Linked DNA regions of Stegostoma tigrinum. Each later gene encodes a partner of the first gene's protein in a complex. Links are inferred from orthologs where the notes say so. Each region holds a gene or a part of one and is shown on either strand. Other genes may lie near its edges.

Region 1 (7,531 bases):
ATGTAATGCCTCTACTCAACAATAGAACATACCTTCTCTTTCATTTCAAAGGTTAGCACCAATCAAACTGTGTACCACCAATGCGGCTGGGTGGATTCCAATACTGCACAGAATGGAAAAAATATGATTTGTAGGTTCTTTGTCCAAAATGTGGCTGTATCTGGGAAAAGATTACTCTTTGTGTTTTATGGCATGGGAAATGCCATTTGTCTAAGCTACCTTATCCAAAAATGATATTTATCAATTCCTCACTGCTGTTCACATTTAACATAGATATTATGCTTGCTTTACACTGTAGTTGGTCAAATTGAAAGGAAGGCAATTTTGTTCTAGCTAATCTCAGGATTCAACACGTGAATAGGTACAAAAAGTGAAGAGAGCGTCTGATTGTCGCCACAACCTCTCCTATTTCTTCCCACATGTTGACAATCCTGTTGCATGTTTTCAGCACTTTTTAAAAATCGAATTCTGCCAATGATTCAAAGAAACAAACTTACTTGCACAACGAATTACACTTCAGAGCACTTGGTCCGAAATTATTTCCAACGTAAGTCAATCTATCCGTCTCAGCAGACTACAGTGGATGAAAAAGGAATCATTTTAAATGAAGTTAAACAATTTCAATGAGCTAGCAATGTTATTAAAGTAGCTTAAAGAAATCATATAATAACTTTAATCATGCCAGTTTTACTATGGAGCAAACTGTTGTAAATGTTTTACTGCGGAAGAACACCTGTCCTTACCAAGATCAGTTGATGCTTTTTCCGGGGATGATTTCTGTGTATATTTTTATGCAGCTGAAATTCCACATTTTCTGAATTTGTGAGTTTCCCATTGGAAAACTGAACTGCAAAACAGGACAGTGTTGTCATAAATTTCATTAGTGGCCCACGGGATATCTTTGTTCAGCAACCACATCAAACTAGCAGGGTTAATGATAAGAGTACAAAAGCTAACAAAGTGTGGAGCTGGACGAACACAGCAGGCCGAGCAGCATCTTAGGAGCACAAAATGATAATCTGGCAGTTTTGATGGTTATTTTATCTGGAATTTGCCTGTAACCGTTACCTATCAAATCTGCTACCACAACTAAACTTTCACTCTTCTGCCTCAATCCCTGTGCAGCTGAGCCAGTCATGAATGGCATGAACTTGGCTCCTGCCATACTCCTCTGAGAAGTGATTGCTCTCAATACCACCCAAAATAGAAAAAGTTAGTTAGTGAGAGAGGGTGGGGGATTTATACAGGGACTGGCAGTCACACTGTTCTGCTGGCATGCTATAAACGTTTGGTGTAGCCACCTCCTTAAGCATGCTATCAATGTAACCTTCAGCTTTGAGGATACAACACAGCAAGTCCACCTGTGCCATAATCAGTAAGGAAATCAAGGATTATGGAGAACAGTCAGAGAAGTGGAGTTGAGAATTATTAGATTAGCCATTGTCTTGCTGAATGGTCTACTTGCACGCCCAGATTTAATCATAAAATCCATACAGGGTGGAAGGCGGCCATTGGCTCATCAAGTCCACACCAACTCTCTGCACAGCTTTCCACCCAGAACCACCATATGCCCACATTCCTTGTGACTAGTCACCTGGTCTGCACATTCCTGGATTCTAAGACAATTTAGCACTGCCAATCCACCTAACCTGCACACCTTTGGACTGTGAAAGGAAACCCGAGCACCGGGAGGAAACCCACACAGACTGGTGCCCGAAACTGGATTCAAAGCCAAGTCCCTGGAGCTGTGAGGCATCAGTGCTAACCACTGAGCCACTGTGCCGTCCTGGTGAATTATCTCATCCACAGGACATCACTGCAAGAATTCCTCAAGATAGCATTTTAGGCCTAACCCATTTTCAGCTGCTTCAATGAGCTCCTTTCCATCAAAGCATCAGGAATGGGATGTTCACTGATAATTACATAATGCGGAATGACCCACATTATTAACAACCTGGCACTTACCAGTGGGCAGAAGTTGAGCTGAACTAGCTATTTAATACTGTGGATGCAAGATCAGATTAGAAGCTAGAAATTCTGCAGCAATAAGCTTACTTTCTGACTCCTTAAAGACTGTCCACCGTCTACAAAGCCTAAGTCAGGAATGCCACAGCATACTTCCCACTTACCTGGGTGACTACAGCTCTGGCACCACCAACAGCAAAGCAGTTTGCCCAGTATCCAACCTTTAAAGCTCTCCCCAGCAGCAATATTCAGCCACAGAAGTGTGCACCATCTCCAAGATGCACTACAGCAGCTCACCTAGGACCTTTAAACCGCACCTTCCAAACCAGTGACCTCGGCCACCAAGAATGACAAGGGCAGCCAGTACATGGGAATATCACTGCCGGCAAGTTCCACTTCATTTCACACAGACCCCTGACTGAGACCTATAGTGATAATCCCATCGCTGTTACTGGGTCAAAAATCCCGAGCAGGACTGTGGGTGCACCTACACACCCCAGGAGTCGCAGCAGTTCTGCCACTTTATTGAAGGCAATTAGGGGTGGGTAATAAATGTTGGTACAACTAAAAGATGCCAGATATTTATGCCAAAGATGCAAGAACGAAAGTATAAATAAATGAAAGAGTATCTGTAACGCTGTGACTTTTTTTTCAGATTTCCAGCACTCACAGTATCAGATTTTCAACTACTGCCCTTATATGAGCCAAGCTTCGCTTTTCCACGTCTGCACGACAGTAATTATACCGTAAAAAGTACACGGTGGGCAAAAGTGGTCTGAAAAGTCTAAGTGCTTATGAAAGATGCTACACAAATGCAAGTTTTGTTTCCCCGGCTGTGCCTTTGGATCTACATTCCCAGCCATTCCGCGCTGCCTGACTAATCCAAATATTCCCAGAGTCGCTACCGAGTGTCGCCGACTGCTCCGGATCCAATTCCGTTAAATTCCTGTACTTCCACACACCGAAAGCTGCCATCAGTACAAACACCAACCGGACGAACACTCCGCAAACGCCGACACCAGGCCGCACACTAACTTCTACCGGGCCCACGCCGCCCGGCGCCAGCGACACCGCCACCTACCGGGCCCACGCCGCCCGGCGCCAGCGACACCGCCACCGACCAGGCCCACGCCGCCCGGCGCCAGCGACACCGCCACCTACCGAGCCCACGCCGCCCGGCGCCAGCGACACCGCCACCTACCGAGCCCACGCCGCCCGGCGCCAGCGACACCGTCGTCCAGTATTAACATCATCAACAGTCCCACAGAACAGCGCTATCCAGAGGCCAAAGCTACATACATCATAGCTTAGGCGCAAATTACTGCAGATGGTGGAGTCTGAACTGAAAACTTTGTCTTTGCTTTACCTTTAGTTGTTGTACTCTCTGTCACCGTGTCCTCTCTCCATTCCCTCCTGTCCAGTAGGACTGTCTCTGTTCTTTCCAGTCTGGCAATTGGACACACCACTGTTCGGCCATTCTCACATTCTGATCATTTAATCTGCACTATCAACATCCTTTCTCCACCAGCCCTCTTATCTCCTCCACACTTCACATCACCTCTGATGAAGGTTCGTCTAGACTTGATATGTAAGCTTGCTTGATCTCCCCAGGTGCTGCCTGATCCGCTGTGGTTTTCAGCATTCTTAGTTTTCAATACATCGCAGTTTGATGATTTGGATCACGAAAACTACATTTATATAGCACCTTTAATGTACAAATTCTTACAGTGCTCTGAAATAAGTCAGTTCTGTAGCTGACTCATTTTTTTAACAACTTAGAGAAAGCCCTTTGTCCCTTGAGTCTGTTCCAACACTATAAGCCTCTAACTACTCTAATCCAAACTTCGAGCACTTGGCCCGTAGCCTTTCTGCCATGGCATTTCAAGTGTTCGTTGAAGTAGTTCTTAAATGTCATGAGGGTTCCTGCTTTACCACCCTTTTAAGCAGGGAGTTCCAGATATCCACCACTTCTGTGTACAAAATCTTTCCTCAGATCTTCCCTAAAACCTGATTCTTACATTTAAAAATGTGTCCCTGGTTATTGACCCTTTTACCAAGGAGAAAAGTTCCTTCCTATCTTCCCTATCGTATTGCCTTCATAGCAGGTCAGCGAGCATCCGAGGAGCAGGAAAGTCATCATTCATCATTCATCATTTTGGATCAGAACTCTCCTTTAGGATTCTGAGTCCTGCACCTCGGATGCTCTCTGACCTGCTGTGCTTTTCCAGGTCCATATTTTTTGACTCTAGCATCCAGCACCTGCAGCCCTTTCTGTCTCCATATTGCATTTATAACTCAGTACACATCAACCATGTCCCCCGCTTCAGACTTCTCTGCTCTAGTCTCTGTTAATAGCTGACTCACTACAAGCCAGGCAAACTCAACTCTCATGCAATCACTTCGTTTAGTGTGGCAACCCAGAACTGCACACAGTGCTTACGGTATGGCCTAATTCTGTTTCCTGGCTGTCATGATATTGTTAACCAGTCTCTCAACTCTTTCCGTCTTATTCTTACATGATTAGTGTTGTGGGATTTCTTACATGTATCTGATAGAGCATGTTGTGCCTCAACTTAGCATTTACTTCAAAAAACAGCCCCTACTAAGCACAGCATTTGAGTATCAACCAAGGCTTGTGATCAACTCTCAGGAGTGAGAACTCATCCTTCAGCCCTCTGACTGAGAGATGATTATGCTACCATTACTTTGTAAGCCAAGATTCAGGTCAGATTTCTGTTTCCAAGAGGAAACTGCTCACTTTCCAAATTGGATAATTCTGGTCGTGCTGCTCAGAAATATCAGAGGAGAGTAAAAACACAAGGAAATCCCGAGGTAATAATGTAACCAAATCTCAGTGACCTGCGAGGTCCTGTGCTACATGCAGGGGGGTGGGGTGCAGCTCAGATTTACACACACAACAGAACCCCACTAAACACCTGTTATAATACCCAATGAAGCCAGCAAATGCATGTTGCAATCTGGTTGGAGACCAGTAAGGTTTTCCTTGTTTAAGTTAAACAAAGTTTTGAGATTCCAGGTACCCTTCAACAAATTAAAGTCACAAGATTCCACCAGACAATAATAACTACATTTCAAATGTACTTCAATTGTCTGTAAAGTAATTGGTGACTATGAAAAGCACTATTTGAATGCAAATCATTTTTAAAATCAACACTGTAAGATTTTCAGTTCATTTGGGCTAATATATTCCTGATGAAAAAAGAAGGACAGGCAACACATAGGCTATAAAAATTCTCAACTTTGCAATTTCTCCTTTCACATTTTACTTGTAACTTGAATGAAGCATTTTCATAATATACAATGTTTTCTGATGCAAGTGAAGTCTGAGATGAAAAGTCTCCAATATCTTGCACCTTAATAAGTAAGTGATGAAATTAAGTTTCCAATTGTTCACTTTTCAGTTGCATTTTCAAAGGTTTTCACCAGAATGATACTAGGCAGAAGTGAGCCCAAGACTATCCTTTAAAATTTTATTCGGGACAATTATGAAGGCACGAAAATGGAGCTGGCTAAAGTAAAATGGTAAATTAGGTTTAAGGATGGGTCAATTAAGACCATAAGACCATAAGTCGTAGGAGTGGAAGTAAGGCCATTTGGCCCATCGAGTCCACTCCGCCATTTAATCATAGCTGATGGGCATTTCAACTCCACTTCCCTGCACTCTCCCCGTAGCCCTTAATTCCTTGTGAGAGCAAGAATTTATCAATCTCTACCTTGAAGACATTTAACATCCCGGCCTCCACTGCACTCTGTGGCAATGAATTCCACAAGCCCACCACTCTCTGACCACAGAAATGTCTCCTCATTTCTGTTTTAAATTTACCCTGTCTAATCCTAAGGCTGTGCCCACGGGTCCTAGTCTCCCCGCCTAACAGAAACAACCTCCCAACGTCCACCCTTCCTAAGCCAGACATTATCTTGTAAGTTTCTATTAGATCTCCCCTCAACCTTCTAAACTCTAATGAATACAATCCCAGGATCCTCAGCGGTTCATTGCACATTAAGCCTACCATTCCGGGGATCATCCGTGTGAATCTCCGCTGGACATGCTCCAGGGCTAGTATGTGCTTCCTGTGGTGTGGGGCCCAAAATTGAACACAGTATTCTAAATGGGGCCTAACTAGGGCTTTATAAAGCCTTAGAAGCACATCACTGCTTTTATATTCCAACCCTCTTGAGATAAACGACAACATGACATTCACTTTCTTACTCACGGACTCTACCTGCAACTTAACCTTTAGAGAATCCTGGGCCAACACTCCCAGATTCCTTTGTACTTCTGCTTCATGAATTTTCTCACCATTTAGAAAATAATCCATGCCTGTATTCTTTTTCCAAAGTGCAAAACCTCACATTTACTCACATTGAATTTCATCAGCCATTTCCTGGACCACTCTCCTAAACTGTCTATATCTTTTTGCAGCTTCCCCACCTTCTCAGTACTACCTGCCTGTCCACCTATCTTTGTATCATCGGCAAACTTCGCCAGAATGCCCCCCGTCCCTTCATCCAGAAGGACATGAAGCATGTTGTTGAGCTAAACTGTTAAATTTTCCTAGCCTTCCATAAAATTATGAACAAAAATTCTCAAACATTGTGGTCCTAGCTGCCGACATGCATCTCCAAGGGATGTATACTAGCTCAATACTGAATTTGGCAGGAAAAATTTGGGCCTAGCTTTCAAACCAGAAAAATTAGGCCAGCAGGGCATAATTAAAAATTCGTTAAAACTGATATCAAAAAGATCTTAAGTATTTATTCAGAGAGTGATAAAGCTTGGAATGATCTGCCAGACTTGCAACCACAAATACACAAGCATGTCTTTTTTTAATGTGTTCAAGAAATAAAAAAACAAATTCAAGAGAGACTAAAATTTGTTATCCTTTTGACACACTTTTAAAAAACAGTTTAAACAATTGTGATGCTGATGGCAAGATCAGACCTGTTGATCAAAAACAATTCTACAACTGTCAGACTTGTGCGTGAATTGCATAATTGAGATAGCTCCAGTTCCACAGACCACGCATGAACATAGATCTTAGAGTATGATCACTCTGGGGACAGAGTAACATAAAATGGAGCTCTCCTATAATTTACCAACGCTGCACTGATTCGTAGCAGGAGGTCTCAAGTTCTATCTTCCAGCTGAGTAAGTTAGCAGAACATAGGAGAGCCATAACTAGCCACAACATCCTGAAATGACAGCAAGTGAAAAAATACTGATCCCTTCTGGACGAACACTGGATGAGGCCAAGAAACAGACACCTCCTGTCTGCCGAAGGTGTAGCACATGCCTATTTACCTCCTCCTTCCCCAGTATCCAAGGGCCCAAGTAAACCTTCATACAATCTAGTCTACTGCATTTGCTGCTCACAAAGTGGTTTCCTCTACACTGGGGAAATTAAGTGTAGACTGGGTGTCTGCTCCGCAGAATATCTACGCTCCGCCCACAAAAAAGACCATTGGCTTCCAGTTGCCTGCCACTTTAACACACCTGCCTGTACCCTGGTCAACATCTCTGTCTCAGGCTTGCTACAGTGTTCCA
Region 2 (7,010 bases), on another chromosome or scaffold:
TAATGGTTCCCAGAACAAATTTGTTCGAGATCACTAAGGAGTTAGGATGTGCTACATTGTAAATGTCACAGACATAAATGTGTTTATTTACCTTTGTTTGCAAATTAAATATTAGGAGGGACTGTTGTGAATGTTGTTCCGCTAAAGCTATCCTCTGATTCAATGATGTCGATTACTCTTGTTATTGACCTGGGCACCCAACTTTCACAGCACTTGGTTCCCACTGCCCTATATTATACTTGCAACGGTGTAAGTTCTGTATTTGAAGCATATGGACATATTCAATCTCTCTGATGATTGACCCATTAATTGTCAAGGAGGTAAATTTTCATTCAAATTATTGACTGATTTATTCCAAAGAAAGATAAAATGTACAATAAACAAATCTGTTCAGAGTCACTTAATTTATCAGGCAAAACTTATGGTCACAAATGTGACAACAATGAAGAACACAGGTCACTTGGAATCGATTAGAACATAGAATGTAGAACAATACAGCACAGTACAGGCCCTTGGGCCTACGATGTTGCGCCAACCTGTTATCCTACTGTAAGATCAAAACTAACCTGCATAACCTTCATTTAACTATCATCCTTGTGCCTATCCAAGAGTCGCTTGAATGATCCTAAGGTATCTGACTGCACTACCACCGTTGGCAGCACATTCCACTCACCCACCACTCTCTGTGTGAAGAAACTACCTCTGACATCTCCACGACACCTTCCTCCAATCACTGTAAAATTATGCCCCTCCTAATAGTAATTTCCACCTTGGGAAAAAGTCTCCGGCTATCCACACTATCTATGCCTCTCATCATCTTGTACACCTCTGTCAAGTCACCTCTCATCCTTCTTCGCTCCAATGAAAAATGCCCTACTTCCTTCAATCTTTCCTTATAAGACCTGCTCTCACGTCCAAGCAGCATCCTGGTAAATCTCCCCTGCACCCTCTCTAAAGCTTTCTCATTCTTCCTATAATGAGGCGACCAGAACTGAATGGAATATTCCAAGTGTGGTCTAACCAGGGTTTTATAGAGCTGCAGCATAGCCCCGCGGCTCTTAAACTCAATTCCCCAGCCAATGAAAGCTAACACACCATACACATTCTTTACAACCCTATCAACTTGGGTGGCAACTTTGACGGATCTACGGACGTGAACCCTAAGATCCCTCTGTTCATCCACACTACCAAGAATCCTGCCATTAACCCCGTAAGAGGATTGTGTCCTCTTATTTAACTTAATAAGAATAAGTCTGCCTGTTTTGTTTCTTTGTGGTCTTGGAATAATCCCATCTTTGCTTCCCTTTAGGATCCTGGCTGCTCCAACATTTTCTCAGCATATCCTTGACAGACTGCCTTTTTGGTGTTTGGGTTCGGAGTTTTAGTACTCTCTTTCACAGATCTATCAAGACCAAAAGGGAATTTTCATATGTGATGATGTGAGATGTATTTTGAGTGCCAGATATGCTAAAGAATCTCCCTAAGAGAGAATTCAGAGAAATGACTTGTCATTTTGTGTATTAATTTACTTTTGCCTGACCAAGGATCAATAACTTCCTGTAATCATGACCTGAGAAACTAGTCTTTTTGAGATATACCTTTGCTCCAAATATGTTTTAAAGGTTTTCTCTGCCTAGGCAATAGATCAATATATAACAATGATGACCGACCCATGAGGTTAACAAGTAAGAAAATAAAATACGACTTCTAAAAAACTTGTCATGTTCCTCAAAGCAACTTTTTGAAATATATTCATCTATCTGATCTCCTAGTTTTCTTTATTCACTTATTGGGCATGGGTGACACCGGCTGGACTGGCATTTATTGCCCCTCCCTAGTTGCTCTTCAGAAGATAATAGTGAGCTGCCCTCAAGTTAGTGTAGTTACACGCACAATGCCCTTAAGGAGGGAATTGCAGGATTTTGACTCAGTGACGCTGAAGGAATAGTGATACATTTCCATGTTATGATGGTGAGTGGCTTGTAGGGAAACTTGCAGTGTCCCCATATATCTGCTGCCTTTTACTTTCTGAGTGGAAGTGATCGTAGGTTTGGAGGGTGCTGTCTAAGCAGCTTTGGTGAATTTCTGCAACGCTGCTCATAGATAGCACCCAATGAGGCTGCTGTGCATCAGTAGTGGAGGAAGTGGGTTTTGATGGATGTGGGACCAGTTAAGCAGCCTGCTTAGTCCTGAATAGTGTTAAGTATCTTGAGTATGTGAGAGCTGCACTAAGCAAGTAGGGAGTATTTCATCAGAGTCCTGACTTGTGGTTTGTGCATGCTGGACAGGCTTTGGGGTACTTTGGGAATTACAGAAAAATTTCTTCCCTCTGACTTGCTCTTCTTACTGATAGTGGGCTTAGAATGCTACCCTGTAGAACTCCCGCATGGATATCCTGGAGTTGAGATGATTGATCTCCATCAATCACAACCTACTTCCTTTGGCTAGGACTGACTCCAACTAGCAGAGTTTTCTTCTTGATTCCCATTGATGCTAGTTTTGCTAGAATTCCTAGATGTCACACTTGATTAAATGAGGCCTTGCTACCACCCTTATTGCTTGCTCCGGGTGCTGAGGGGATGATGGTATGCTGTAAAGAGCAGGAGAATGTTTTTATACATGTTTGACCTGATGCCGTGGCACCTCATGACAAACAGAATCAACGTTGAAGACTCGCACGGCATGTCCCTCCTAACTGTATACTACTGTATTGTCATATCCACTAGATCTGTCCTGCCAGTGGATCATTGTCTGTGAAGTATCATTCTGTGTGTATGATTATGTCAAGTAGTTGCTTAATGAATCTATAAAACAGCTCTCTTAATTTTGGCTTGAAAGCCCAGATGTTAGTAAGTCAGAGTTAGCTTATAGAGTTGACAGGGTTGTGTTTGCTATTGTCCTTTCCTTGGTCAATGCCAAGTGGGTGTGACCTGTTTCACTGTTTTATTACTTTCTTGTAATTGATACATCTGAATGGCTTGCTAGGCCATTTCAGATGATGGTTAAGAGTCAAGCACATTATTGTTGGTCTGGAGCCAGGCCAGGCGAGAACAATAGTTCCGTTCCTATAGGACACTAGTGAACGAGATGGGTTTTCTCAACAACTGACATTGGTTTCTGGGTCATCATTAGGCTTTTAATTCCAGATTTTTATCAAATTGGAATTCCACCATTTGCTGTGGTGGAATTCAAACTCAGAACATTACCAGGGTCTTTGGCTTACTGGTCCAGTGGCAATATCTCGAGACCATCGCCTCGTCTCAAAGTAAGGACTGAAGTATGAAGGAATGAACAGAAGAATACTTTTCTCAGGGCTGTTTCCAGGACAATTCATTCTTGCCAGTAGAGAACTATTCACAAAATTGCCTGCAGAGATGAGAAACATCAGTAACATCAGTAGATTAGACAAAGTGGAATTGTACCTTTTGGAGGAGATTGAAGTGTGATTTAACAGAATTGTTGAAAATCATGAGGTGTTTGAACAGAATAGGTAGAGAGTGAACATTAATGGGAGCATTATAGACTACAGAACACAAACTTTCGATAACTGGTAAAGGAAGCATTCAGGGGAAATGTTTTAATTCAGTTATTAGGGTCTAGAATACACTGGCTGAGACTGTGGTGGAGACAGAATCAAAGGGAATTTTATCTTCATTTTGTTAAAAGGAAAAGTAGAGGGTTAGCAGCACCTGGTGAACTACAGATGGCTCGCTAAGTAACAAAAAAAACACACTGAATGGCCTCCTTCAGCAGTGGAATCATTCCAGGTGGACAGAGAGTACGATTTTAACTCTCGACATGGATGATTTTTAAATCTATTGAGAATTCTGACAGTAAATGTGATAACCACAGTTGCATAAACTTGACCACCTACAGCTCATTCCTCTCCTACTTCCCGTACCAGTTCTGACTGGAAACCAGCACCACCTGGTGGCCGGTGAACCACTTTACGACAGCTCGGCGCCGCTTTACGGCGGCAGCAGCAGCATGGCGAGTTCTGGGCCGGAGGGCCGTGTGGTCTCAGGGGGAGGACAGCAGCTCTCTTTCAGCCAGGCCTGCTCCCTCATCAAGAGCCCGTACTCGTGCCTGGTGCTGGACACCTTCCGAAGGCACATCACCCTGTCTCCAGTCTTCCTTAAGCGGCAGAGATCCGGCATCGAGAAGCAGCTCCGGACAGAGCTACTCCGTTTCTCCGAGAGGTGAGGGGCGCGGAAACAGGCCCTTCGGCCCAGCCCGGCCGTGCCGACCCGCTTTCCCTCAACTAAACCTCCCTGCGTTTGGCCCGTTATCACTCTTAAACTTTCCCTTTTCACGCGTCTGATGTGAGGGTGGGTGCGGGGTGAGACGAGTTGGGTGAGGAGGATGTAGGAGAGGGGCAAGAGGTGGAGGAGAAGAGAGAGGGAGCACTGGGGATTTGGAAAGATTACAGAAGACGGGGGAAGACCGGAGAGGCTGAATGAGAGGGCATCAGTTTCAGAGGGTGGAGGAGGGAACTCACTTAAAAACAAAGGTTTAAACTCCAAACTCATTAGCCCATGGATTTAAAATACAGAATCAATTCTGTATTCCTATTACTCTTACAAACACATTTGAAATCCGGCTTGACCTCTGTAGACCAGAACTCCATGGATCAGCACTCCGAAGCCAGCAAAGGACCCGGTCAGATGATCCAGATTCTCTATCACTCTACCAACTCAATGTCAGAACTGGTTCGCCTTACTTCGCTTCCTTACCCCTCTTCTCTCACCCATCCCAACTGAACTTCCCAAAGCCGTAGCCCAGTTTTTGCTCACCCCAATCTCAACTCTCCCCTTCTGGCAACCTTCTCTTAAACCGAACCCCATCTCTACCCCTATTTTTGCCACTCCCTCCTCCAGTTCTCCTTGCAGAAATTATATTTGCTCAGTTACCTGTTCACCTATATGTAAGTTGATTTATGTGCATGGACACCTGATAGACCCTTTGTGTTGCAGCATTCTGCTCTTTCTTTCCATTTAAGTAGCATTTTTGTCAATGCCAAGGGCAATGAACTTAAATTCCAAAGTATTCTCTTCTATAATTTTGTTAAATTCTGTTTCCTTTTAAAAATGGATAATGTTGCCGCACTTATAAAATAGCTGAGGCTGATCAAATGACTTTCAATAAGTTTCTGAAATACCTACGTTGTATCGTATTTCCACCTAAAACTGACGCACAGTTGCTGGTCACGAGCTGATTTTGTCAAGCCAGCTGTGGACAAAAGAAGTGTCTGTCCTTGTCATGTGGCTGAAATTTGAACTAGCTAACTTGCTTAAATATATAATTCTGGGATTCTAAGTCAGTTGCATGTTGACCTTAAAGGGAGAGCAGAACTTGCAAGTTAAGTTGGCAGCTTGCATCGGATAATCATTAGCTGGAAAAATGCCGAGTCTTTGTCTGGCAGAAGGGAAGATGCTGTTGTTGAAAAACTGTTCACCCTCTCACTTGCCCTCTTTGAGACACTGAACTGCTCAACAGCCAGTGTCGCTCTGCCTGGGCTCTCTGTCCCAGGCTTCCCTAGCTGTGTAAACATTCAGCTTTAGTAGGACCATCACTGCAAGAGTAACCATAGATGTTAATGCAAATAGAACCTACGAATGTTACCCGTGCGTGTGCAGATGCACTCAAGCTTAAAAATCTGTCACCACGTCTAATGGTGCAGATGGAAGTTTTGATGGTCATCTTTGTGTTTGTGTCAATTATTCCATTTGTTGTAGTAACACTGATTTTTATTGTCATATGTACAGAAATATAATGAAAGGCTTTGCTTACCATGACCTGCCCGTCACGCTCGTAAGCAAAGGATGTACAGATCAAAACAACTTAGAGGCATACAGGTTACATTGCAAGCATCATTATTTGAGGCTAGAGTCCATTCAACAGTCTGATAATAGCAGGACAGAAGCTGCTTGTGCGTGTATTCAGGTTTCTGTATCTTCTGCCTGACAGAAGAGGTTGTAGGGGATCATTACCAGGGTGCGATGGGTCTTTGATAATATTGGTCACCCTTCTGCAGCTGTGAGCTGTGTAATTAAAGTCCATGGACGGAAGATTGGCTTCTGTGATGGTCTGGGCCATACATACAACCTTTTGTAGTTTTTTACAGTCCTGGGCAGAGCAGTTGCCATACCAGGCCGTTATGCACCTGGACAGGATGCTTTCTATGGTGCATCTGTAGAATTTAGTGAGGGTATCTAAGGACATGCTAAATTTCCTGAACTGTCTGAAGAAAAAGAGGCATTGTTGTGCCGCCTTGACTGTGGCATTTACATGTTAAGTCCAGGACAGGTTATTGTCACTCCAAGGAACTTGATGCTCTTCACTCTCCACCTCAGTTCCATTGATGTAGATGAAGGTGTGTTCTCCTTTCTTTTTGAAGTAGATGGTCAGTTCTTTAGTTATTGAATGTTAAAAGGAGGTGGTTGGACACTGTCTCGTTGGAGACTTTGGCACTTGTTGCTTATCAGCTTGAACCTGTGGAGTCCAGGTTTAACTGCATGTGAGTATAAACTCATTAGCTGAGGAATAGCAAATAAAACTGAACTTTGAGTAATCATCAGAGATTGTCCTCTCTTCTAATCATAACATTAAGGAAAGGTTATTCGTAAAACAGCTAAAGAACTTGGTCTACTGCTCTGTTGAGTTGGCTTTCAGCATCTACGATTTCCTTCCTTTTGTACTAGACTTCCAACAAATGGACAGTTTTCTCCAATTCCTATTGATGAAATTTTACTTGGGCTACTTGATGCCATGTGTCGTCAAACAGTAACTTGATAAGAAGGATATTGTTTCCTTTACCATCTTACTGTTTATCCATGTTTGGATCAACGCTGAATTGAGCTGAAGAGCCTAATGATCTCGGTGGAACCCAAATTGAGTAGATTATTGTTGACTGTGTACAATGATAGCACAGTCAATATCAGCTTCCATCACATTATGATTGAAAGTAGTTTTATGGACTGCTGATTGGCTGGGAAGTTTACCACCATGTT

The links. The genes of interacting proteins can lie anywhere in the genome.
Region 2: polr1e (region 1) and polr1f share a complex: the UniProt entries of both Homo sapiens proteins name them as parts of the RNA polymerase I (Pol I) complex. The link is inferred for Stegostoma tigrinum from reciprocal best matches to the Homo sapiens genes POLR1E and POLR1F.

What each region holds. Positions count from the first base shown.
Region 1 is NC_081356.1:12,667,730-12,675,260, reverse strand, and holds the start of polr1e (DNA-directed RNA polymerase I subunit RPA49), read right to left. Parts: upstream 3,016-7,531; 5' UTR 2,941-3,015; coding exon 2,871-2,940; intron 848-2,870; coding exon 744-847; intron 575-743; coding exon 498-574; intron 1-497. UniProt on the Homo sapiens protein: Component of RNA polymerase I (Pol I), a DNA-dependent RNA polymerase which synthesizes ribosomal RNA precursors using the four ribonucleoside triphosphates as substrates.
Region 2 is NC_081355.1:73,093,608-73,100,617, reverse strand, and holds the start of polr1f (DNA-directed RNA polymerase I subunit RPA43), read left to right. Parts: upstream 1-3,972; 5' UTR 3,973-3,987; coding exon 3,988-4,199; intron 4,200-7,010. UniProt on the Homo sapiens protein: Component of RNA polymerase I (Pol I), a DNA-dependent RNA polymerase which synthesizes ribosomal RNA precursors using the four ribonucleoside triphosphates as substrates.